2 linked regions of the Caenorhabditis elegans genome follow. The protein of the gene in region 1 purifies or fractionates together with the protein of each later gene. This does not show direct contact. Each region holds a gene or a part of one and is shown in the gene's direction. Other genes may lie near its edges. The genes, in order: T13H5.1 and pcca-1.

Region 1 (4,880 bases):
ATAATCATCTTGAATTCCCAATTTCAAGCATGAACCTCTTCAATGTCGCAACATATTTGATCAATTTTGGAATAAATTTTAATATTCCGATTTGTTTCAAATTTCTCAAATTGTCTTGAAGCTTATTCATCACATTTTCTCAAAGTTTGTTCCTCAAAACATTTTCATCATTTGATGAGAACGGGAACACCACTAAATGTCCTTCTCTCTGTGTTGCTCTCGTTCCCTTGCAGGAGCTCCGCCGTTTGTCTCATCATGTCGTTAACATTTGAAAAACAGAGACAAGAAAAACACAACAGAGATCCTCTTTTTCTTTATTTCTTTAAGATTTTCCTATTCGTCGGTTTTACGTTCTTCTCGTGTCTGTCTTTTTAACCGCAGACCGGCATAAAACTAAACGATATCTCGAGTTACCTATCGAGAGCAGTCTATGCTCTTTTCATTATTAAAGAGATATAGACACCTCTGTCATTTTGTGACTCACTTCTTTTTTTCAAAATCTTATACAGTTCAATACATCATTCATCATCTACAAAGGGCTAAAACAATTTCATAATAAATTAGTAACTGGTAGGGTACGGTAGTTTACAACAGAAACAGTTAAAGGCTGAGAAAATAAATTTGAGTAATAGCTCTATTGGAATTAAAATGGCCTCAATTTTGTAATGAGACGTGTCAGAAATTACTAAACGTTTTTTAATGGTGTGTCAAAGTAAAAAAAAATTCGGATGAAAGTAAATCAATTTTTGGCCACAATAACAAGCTTACAAAATTACTTACTTCAGCGCAATTGCATGAAATTGCTAACTCTATAACTTTTTGTGCCATTTTTTATTTCAGTCAAGTTAGCTATTCCATCTACAGTACTATGACGTCTTCAACATATGCAAAGTGGTTTCCAAAGTTTGTTCACATTTTGCTTGCCATTGTCTAGTTTCCCTTGAGCCATTTCATTGTTGACTATTCATCAGCAAAACACCGAATTTTCAATGAACTTCATTTTTCGTTTAACCCGTTTTTTGCATTTTTCTCGGACTATGAGTGAGTTATGTGTTCCTGAAAAATTGTAAATTCACGCCCGAGTGGAAAACTTTTTTGTCCCAAACTTTTTTTCCGTTTACAACCAGAATTTTTACCAACCTATTGAAATTTAACATCTTGAAAACATTACATAAAAACAGCATTGATTAAATTTTCAAATGCTGCACCTTTTTTTCTTTTTTAAATTTTGAACTGATATAAAACAACCAACCGGAAACCTGCTCGGGACATCACAAGTGCCGTCTTATGCTTCTTCATCTTTCATCAAGAAAACTCCATTAATTTTTAAATTTTTTCTGGGACTCGTGATGGTCTTTTCTCTGCACTTGATGCTCCTTTTTAGATGCCAACATTTGAATGAAAAAGATCACATACTGAAAAATCCATGTTGATACTTTCAAATTTCTTTTCCCATTTGCTTTTTTATTAAGGAATTTTGCTTCCTTGCTTATAATATTCTTAAATAATATTCTTCATTTCTAATCTGATTTATTTTATCAGTGACGTTTTGTTTTTTTTCAGTTTTCCGTTCCAATATCATTTTCCCTCCCAACAATGCTTCAACTCATTTCATAAATTACTCATCTCATAAACTCATCTCATAATGTCTCTAATTCTCTTCAACTCTCACACTCTCTCTTCTTTTTCTCACTATTGGATCACCGGGCCCCCTTGAACCTCAAAATATGACTGGATTGACAAGTCAAGCAAAAACCACAACAAAATCACTGATCTATTTTTGCAGATAAGATTTTTGCTGAACTCGAAGAAATCTTCATGCTTCTGGTTCATATTTATTATTGAGTTTGTTTTTGTAGAAAGCTCGAAATGATTGGTAGGTCAACTTTATCATAAAATGCAAAAATAGTCTTTTGTAAATCACACTAAAATGTTTTCAACCAGTTAAAGTAATTCGGTGTTTTTCAGAATCAAACAGCACAAGCAAATTTTCTTCATTTTTTCGACGAAAGCCAAAGGATGTAAAGTTGGATATGAATGGAAATGGTCTTGTTAGTCCTCATGATGGTAAGCCATTTTTATTTGCTCATCTGGATCCAGAATGTCTATGTTGTAATACCTGTCATAAAACGTTTTTGGTAAATGTTTAACGTGCCTATTATTCTCTAAGTTATATTCTGATTTTCTGATTATTAAAGGGATAGTTAATTGAAACATTTAAATTATCCTACCTTGATAAATTTATTTCTCGATTTCTTTTTCTGCTGTTGTTTTCATTTTTGTCTTAAATTTCACACTTCCATCAATAATCTTCCTCTGCTTCGGACATTTGTGTGCTCTTTTGTTCTACTTCAAATATTTTAAGGGTCCTTCATAATTTTCTATTATTTCTGAAGAAAGTGCTTCAAGTTTCCGCATTCTTCCAATTTTTCCAATTGTTCTCAATTTTACATTGTTCCACTCCACTTTTTTTCAATTTAATCAATATTTCTACCTTTTCCAAATATCAATTGTAACTCTAAGTCAGTTTGTCCGATTCTCACCCCTTCTCTGATCATAGTTCTTATTTTTCTCTTCGACTCTCTCAATCCTACACTATTTTCTGGAAAATTTCAAGTGGGGGTGCCGTCCCCAAAAAGCCGGCGAAATCGTCCTCATAATATTTGTGTTGCTCTTCGCTCCGTCGGCTCACCCAGGGGCTTCTGCTCCGAAAGCACTGTATATCTTCCACAACGTTTTTTTGAATGCCTTTCTGCTGACACTGGGGTTAGAGTGTTTTTATAGTTGCAAGTCAAGGGGGGAATTCCTTTGAAGTAGACAGTCTACCCCCAATTTCACAGTTCACTTATTTTCTTCATTTTCAATACAATTTTTAAATTTGATATTGGCTTTTAAAGTTTACGTACCTCAATGATTTTCTCAAAACCACACCCTTTGACTTTTCGCAACTTTTTTGTCAAGTGTAACACAGTTTTGTGGGTTTTTCTTCCAAGAGTTGACACTCTAAAAATTGTAACGTTTTGTTTTTCAGTAACTGCTTTTCTTTTATTTTTTGTATCGAATTTTTTTGGACATTTAAATAATTTTACGATAATATTTACTTACTTAGTTAGCATTCTTGAGCTTGAAATGAACTCACCTACTGCATTGTTTAAAAATAACAAGACTTTCATATTTTTCATGACTGTACATATATTTTTATAGATTAACACAATTATGCATCAGTAAGTTATAATTTCTAACTAATCATATGCATATGCTAATGTTTGGTACATTTTGAAAAATTCCAATATATGTAATACTTCCAAATTTTAGGCATTTATTTTTTAAAAGAATTATTGTTACAGAACACCAGGACGAGCTCGAAGATCCAATGGCATCTGTATCGATTCGTGTGCGAAACGAAGAAGGTGACGATTTTGTTGTCTCTCCAAGTGACGTTGTTGATAATATCAATGAGGTTAGTTATACTTTCGAAATTATACAAATACATTTTTAAACTTCAGATAAATTCTCGGCGGAGCAGTCGTCGAGACTCTACACCTGCTTCGTCAATCCGACGAAGTCGTCCCTCATCATCTGCATATTTCAATGAGAATGGGGAACCAATTGAAGGAATTAATAGAGTGAGTTGATGGTTTACCTGATTTAAATTATCAAAGTTTAATTAAAATGTTTATTTTGAAATACTCATTCTTTACATAAAAATATTAATTTAGCCACCAAGAAAATTTAAAAGTATGGACCACATCATGATGAGATTATTCAAACCGTCTAAGGTATCGTAAGTAGATTATTGATGTTCATGTTCTCAATTATTAAAACTGGCTTTTGTGCTCACAATTCAACAATCAATCATCGTTTCTTGTTACATTGTATTTATGTCTGTACGTCAGTTTTCTCTCGGTCTCATTTACTGATTACTGATGAGTGACGTTTTTGTCTGCGTCTAAAGCTGATTGTCTTTTGGTGTCTCTAACAAACCTCGTTTTTTAAAAAATTAATTGACAATTGAAAAAAAGAACCCTTTTTAGAAATATGAAAATTATTTACAGTACAATGTTTTTCAGTGTTAAAATATTTTTTTTAAATGTGAGCTGGACTTTGTGTTGTTTATAAATTGTCCAGATTAAAACTAATATTAAAATTTTCTTGAATCCATTTTTGAAATCATATCATTTAAGGCAAGGAAATCAAAAAGTGTTCGAGATGCCGAGCCGGGATTACGTTCCATGCTCTATGGATTGTCCCAAAAACAGTGAGTTTGCAAATTAAAAATCGTATGCATAAGGAACTTTTCAGAGAGAAGGAGGAGGCGATTGCGAAAAAGCTGGCAAAAAAGATGATAAGTGAGTTTACATTGAAAGTTAAAGTAGGACAGTAGGATAGAGGAATGTAGGAACGTTTCGAATAGTTTGAAGTACACTTGCAACATGGTGTACAAACAAGAGATCAAGAAAATGTCAAGGTTCACGTAGATCAAATATGTCACATATATAGGGGAAAAAATTAAAAATGAACAGTTGAACTTTGAATAGAGTTAATGAGTTGTTGATGGTTTTAATCAATTGTTAAAACGACTGTGGTATGTTAGTAAGTCCGAGAATAAAGAACATCCTAAAATTAAAAAAAAAAACATCAACAAAATAATTTTAAGCATTCATGTAATGGGGTTTGAAATAATCTTTACAGTCAATGTTTACAGGTGGGAACTTCGCCGCGTACCCCCCGTTTTTCATAACCTATTGTCACTCAAAAAATTAAAGAAAGCGATGAGGGGTTCCCGTAACAGACAGTCCGAAAATCAATAATAACGAAAAATCCCATAAACTCCCAATGGTTGTTTCAATGAACATATCAATATTGATGGGGTTTCAAAG
Region 2 (5,924 bases), on another chromosome or scaffold:
TTATTAAAATGGCGAAAAATTAAAAATCAATGCCCTGTTTTCGCGTCTTATTATTATTTTTTTGAGAACTGTACAACTTTTCGTATTCGCAAAAAGAGCTGCCCGAATTGTTTTTCTGTCTGCGTCTAGTTTGTCTTTACACGCTCTATTATTGAGGTCACCATTGGTGTCCTTATTGATTCAGATAGTATCTCCTCTATTACACGAAGACACCCCTTCTTCTATCGTTTGAGAGAATCAAAAAAAAAAGAAACCAACTATTCATCTCCACTTACTTTTTGATTCTCGTACACTATGTAGAATATAGCCAACTAATGATAACATGATAAAATCTAATTTTTTATTTCAGTTTCTGCTCTCTTCAAGTGTGCCGGTCGCTTCGTAATTATTTGGGTGTTAAGTATTCCGCTTCAGATCCATCATTTTGCAAACTGACACTTATTGAAATGTCGGACTATTACAAAACTCCACAACTCTTCTGGTGGCTCCTCATTGTTCCAGCTCTGGCTATCAACTACGTAAGTTTTAAGGTTTCAAGTGAAAAAAAACTATGTTTGATAAAAATAGATATTTCAAAGCTTCCACTTCGATCTATATCTTTGATTTTTAGATTTCTTACGCCCATCCAGCAGCAGCACTTAATATTCCATTAATTGGATCTCTCGTCCATAAGATTGGAACTGAGTATCCATTTGTTGCTCTTTTAACCAACCTTTTCGCCCTTGTAGCACACGCCGGTGAAGCTCTTTACGCTCTTTATCTCTGCCATAAAGCCAATATCAGGTGAACTTTTTCAGTTGATTTTATAACAAATTGTATTTTCAGTTTTGCTTCTACCGCAAAATGGGTTGTCCAAACGTTTATTCTTGGTTTCCCGTCACTCTCTATTCTCAGTCGATACGAAGCCAAGCAGAGGAAGAATAATTGACTAGTAGTTGAAAATGTGTCTGATAGTTCCTAAAATGTATTAATTTTGTTTTTTTTTGCCAATGCAATGAACGACCATTTATTATCAAATAAAATGAAGAAACTCAACGAAACATTCTCAAATAAACAACATGTCGAGAGAAAGGCCAGTGTGTGCAAAGACGCAGAGAAGATCACTGCAAACGCGCTCCGTTGAGGTTGCTGTGTGAGATATCTTGGACAACCCCGCGCATTATTGGACTGTTTTTTGTTGTTTTATTGATCATGTAGTGGTCAATGAGCAGGTCATTCTTGCCTTCGCTGTTGCCAGAGAAGGTCGGCTTTTTTCTTCCCTGTTTTTGGTGATTTTGCCGTTTTTTTTTGTGTATTGAGTGTACTTACTGTGTGAGTCTTTAGATTTTCCGTTTCACGCATACACGTTTTTTGTAAAATTATTAGTTTTTGTAGGACTCTCGGTTCAAAAATTATAGAAAACGTGCAGACTGGACTATGAATTATATTCGAAGTTCTTCATTGTAACATTGTGAGGTCGTCTTTCCAACTCTCAACCTATCCCGGTGATTTTCTCGGTTTCTCTGCGTGTGTGTGTTCAGAGGACGAATACGTGCAAAATCGCAAGAAATGGGCAAAGAGAGAGAGCGGGGCAACTGCGCTTTGGGTCCATCAGAAAAGAGAGATAGACAACTTTTGTGAAAATCTTGTTGCGGGACAAGGGCACCGCACTTCTTGCTTTTCTCTTTTCTGGCCAGGCTATTTACTTCGTTGCTCAGTTGCCATTTCTGCATGTTTTTCTTATTTTTTCTACTAGTCGAAGTTTTCCTTCATAATCAATATAAAGAGAGTTTTCAAGGCATCGCTGTTTATCACTTAACTGACCAAATCAAATCGGTCGTCCTTATCTTTCTCCATCGAAGTTATACACGAAACTGTTTTTCTCCATCATCTTACTTTTTTCTTTTGTGAACTGCTGATGTCGTTGTTCATTTTATCATGAAAATCATTGTTTTTAGGTTGAACCATGCTCCGTGCTGCATCCAGTATCCGCGCTGTGGCCAATCGTGGATTGGCAACTGCTGCTGTTGCCAGACCAGGAGTGTAAGTTTCTGAAAGTTGTATTCGGTTTTGAGATCAATAGGTTCAATTTCAGACCACTTGATGAACGTGAGGGAAAGGAGATTTACACTACTGTAGGAATCGATTACAATGAGCCAAAGTTCGACAAGATTTTGATTGCCAATAGAGGTAATCTCAAGCATCTAAAAGAATCTTAGATTTAATCGTCTATTTTACAGGAGAGATTGCGTGTCGCGTGATCAAAACTGCCAGAGCTATGGGAATCAAGACAGTGGCCGTTCACTCAGATGTCGACAGCAACTCGCTTCACGTAAAGATGGCCGATGAGGCTGTATGTGTTGGAGAAGCTCCAACTGCCAAATCCTACCTACGTGCTGACCGCATCTTGCAAGCTGTCGAGGACACCGGTGCTCAAGCGGTAAGAATTCTAACGTGTCTATGTAATGGAAGGATAAACCGCAAAAATCAAATATCAGAGGAGAATGTAAATTCTGTGGCATGAATCTACATGCACAGTAGCACAAACATATTACCCAGACATCCGACAGAGAATAGAGTTTTTGCAAAAGTTCAGAACACCGCTCCAAATCAACTACTACTGTTCAAGAAGTCAGAGCGTTCGCGCTTAACTTCAAACGGAGAGAATAGCTTAAAAAAGTTGCTGACTGAAAAAATGTGAAATAAAACATTCCCTACATTTTGATAATGCTCAATTTTTTCATGCTCATATCACCTGGCTGAGATATGAGGGTTTGAAGTGATGAAGCTCTAGAGTTCCCTCTTATGGCCTGTTGAAAACTGTGGTGAGGTCAAATTATGAAAAGCACGAATTACCGCATTTTTCAGAGGACAAGCTAGGGTCAAACAGTTTGACAACCCGAGCGAGAGCTTTTGGCTGTGTAGCAGCTTAAGATTTACCGTAATATATTAGAAACCAGTTACTTGTAATATGCACGTGATATTCACCTACTTTCACTACGAAACACAACAAAACAAAAATTCTGTGACAAGTGACCAAGTGGTCTCTTTCCAGTCTCTAGCATCTCGCGTGTTTCATTTTCAAATAGTCAAAGTCAAATGACGAGAGATAGATTGCAAGTGTCTTCTGTTATGTTTTTCAAACAGAACTGCTAAAAACGTTGAAAACATATATTTGCAGGTTCATCCAGGATATGGATTCCTTTCCGAGAACACCAAGTTTGCCGCCGAGCTTGAGAAGGCTGGAGCCAAGTTCATCGGACCAAACTCTAAGGCTATTCTTGATATGGGAGACAAGATTCATTCAAAGAAAATCGCTACCGCAGCCCGTGTCAGCATGATTCCAGGATATGACGGAGAAATTGCTGATGAGGATATGTGCGTGAAAGTCTCCCGCGACATTGGATACCCAGTCATGATCAAGGCTTCTGCCGGTGGTGGTGGAAAAGGAATGCGAGTTGCCTGGAACGACAAGCAAGCTCGTGAAGGATACCGTTTGTCCAAGCAAGAAGCAGCTTCTTCTTTCGGAGATGATCGAATGCTCGTTGAGAAGTTCATTGACAACCCACGGCACATTGAGATGCAGGTGCTCTGCGACAAGCATGGAAACGCTTTGTGGCTCAACGAGCGTGAATGCTCCATTCAGAGAAGAAACCAGAAGGTTATCGAAGAGGCTCCAAGCAGCTTTGTGCCACCAGAGATGAGACGCAAAATGGGAGAACAGGCCGTTCAGCTCGCCAAGGCTGTCGGTTATGACTCTGCTGGAACCGTCGAATTCCTCGTTGATTCTCAGAGAAACTTCTACTTCTTGGAGATGAACACTCGTCTTCAGGTAATATCTCAGTATGGCCTAAATGTTTAATTTTTAAATACTCACAGGTCGAGCATCCAATTACCGAGTGCATCACTGGAATCGATATTGTCCAACAGATGCTTCGCGTTTCCTACGGTCACCCACTTCCAATCACCCAAGAGCAAGTGCCACTCAACGGATGGGCTTTCGAGTCTCGTGTCTACGCCGAGGATCCATACAAGGGATTCGGTCTTCCATCAGTCGGACGTCTCTCCAGATATGTTGAGCCAAAACACGTCGACGGAGTTCGTTGCGACTCTGGAATCCGTGAGGGATCGGAAATCTCTATCTACTACGATCCACTTATCTGCAAGGTAAAGGATAAATTAGCATTTAGATAATTTCAAGTGACTTACTTTGTAATTTCAGCTCGTTACGCACGGAGACAACCGTGAACAGGCTCTGAACCGCATGCAAGAGGCTCTCGACAACTACGTCATTCGTGGAGTCACTCACAACATTCCACTTCTTCGTGATATTGTCCAAGAGAAGAGATTCCGTACTGGAGACATTACCACCAAATATCTTCCAGAAGTGTACCCAGAAGGCTTCCAGGGAACCAGCCTCTCACCAAAAGAGCAAGACGTTGTCATTGCCTTTGCCTCGGCTCTCAACGCTCGTAAACTTGCTCGTGCCAATCAATTCTTGAACCAGAACAAACAACGTAGCACTCATGTGGCTTCCTTCTCGAAGACCTACAAGTTCGTGTCTTCTCTGCCAGTGAAGGAGGGTGAGAGGCCAACCGAGCACGCTGTTGAAGTCGAATTTGTCGAAGGAAGCGCCAACAAGGCCCAAGTTCGTATTGGTGGAAAGACTGTGACTATCAGTGGAGATCTCAACTTGTCTCATCCAGTCAACTCAATTGAAGTCGATGGAGAGCACATCACCACCCAAATTGTTGGCAAGCGCGCCGGAGAGATCACCGTTCTTTACAAGGGAACTCCATTCAAGGTCAAGGTGCTTCCAGAGCAGGCCGTCAAGTACTTGCAGTACATGAAGGAGAAGGCCAAGGTTGACTTGTCCACAGTTGTGCTCTCACCAATGCCAGGAGCAATCAAGAACGTCAACGTTAAGGTAACATTATTTTATCACTACCATTAGATGTGCTAAAACTGATTCAATTTACAGCCAGGAGATATGGTTTCCGAGGGACAAGAGTTAGTTGTCATGGAGGCTATGAAGATGCAGAACAGTCTTCATGCTGGAAAGACCGGACGCGTCAAGGCCGTCAATGTGAAGGTTGGAGCCACAGTCGACGAGGGAGAGGTGCTCGTTGAGCTCGAGTAGATTATTCTCACTGAACCTGAATTTTTTTTGTTGTTTTAATTACCGTTTTTTTCCTAATTTTGTACAATTCAAAGCCGCCACTATCTGGTATGGAGATTGATAATTTCATTCGCAGTTTCTCAAATTTCAAGCCATATTTATATTTTATTTTTGATGCCATTACCCTCACCTGTTGTATTCCAATCATCACGGACGTATTTCTCAGCCACCACCCTGTTTTGTTGCCCCAAGTATTATGTAGTGAATAAATATTGTAGAAGGCATTGCAAAAAGGTTGTTATATGAAGAAAAAAAAGCATTTGCTCATTTTTTGAACTTTTCAATTAGAAAATTATATATCTATTCTGTTTCTACATAACATAAGTGCAGATGTTTTGTTGATTAAATTTTCTATTTTTTGTGAAATAGCTTGTGTAAACTAAACATTTTACCATAGTCCATAATTGAAGCTCGGAAATAAGCGTTGTGAAAAAACTTGTCAGTTTGCAAATCTGTTTTAAAAATTTCAGATTTCTCTTTTTTATGTTCTTCTTTCATGTATCTCAATTTCAAAATATTGAATAGCAGTGCCAATTGATTATTCTGAAAGAAAATTGACAAAAAGACGAGTTGAGACGAGAAGATGAAACAGAAAATGATGGGAAGAAGAAAAAGAAGAATTTTTCTTCCAGTTTTTTTTGCCGTTTTCTGTTCTTTTCAATCTCATTTTAACTCACGTTTTTTGGTTTCGTGTGAGTAGTGTCACACTGATATTGTTAAATTCTGTTAACTTCTAGTTGAGAAAATAAATAATGTCAATATTTTA

What was found.
Region 2: the proteins of T13H5.1 (region 1) and pcca-1 fractionate together in Caenorhabditis elegans (co-fractionation; one large-scale study listed by BioGRID). This does not show direct contact.

What each region holds. Positions count from the first base shown.
Region 1 is NC_003280.10:8,505,955-8,510,834, reverse strand, and holds the start of T13H5.1 (Receptor-type tyrosine-protein phosphatase kappa), read left to right. Parts: upstream 1-1,779; 5' UTR 1,780-1,869; coding exon 1,870-1,876; intron 1,877-1,968; coding exon 1,969-2,067; intron 2,068-3,347; coding exon 3,348-3,460; intron 3,461-3,506; coding exon 3,507-3,626; intron 3,627-3,719; coding exon 3,720-3,779; intron 3,780-4,184; coding exon 4,185-4,258; intron 4,259-4,302; coding exon 4,303-4,349; intron 4,350-4,880.
Region 2 is NC_003284.9:7,657,000-7,662,923, reverse strand, and holds pcca-1 (Propionyl-CoA carboxylase alpha chain, mitochondrial), read left to right. Parts: upstream 1-1,937; 5' UTR 1,938-1,945; coding exon 1,946-2,022; intron 2,023-2,074; coding exon 2,075-2,169; intron 2,170-2,219; coding exon 2,220-2,419; intron 2,420-3,160; coding exon 3,161-3,811; intron 3,812-3,858; coding exon 3,859-4,146; intron 4,147-4,201; coding exon 4,202-4,906; intron 4,907-4,960; coding exon 4,961-5,119; 3' UTR 5,120-5,412; downstream 5,413-5,924. Other genes in the region: dhs-29 (NADP-retinol dehydrogenase), read left to right, coding at 350-518, 611-783, 826-928. UniProt on the Caenorhabditis elegans protein: This is one of the 2 subunits of the biotin-dependent propionyl-CoA carboxylase (PCC), a mitochondrial enzyme involved in the catabolism of odd chain fatty acids, branched-chain amino acids isoleucine, threonine, methionine, and valine and other metabolites.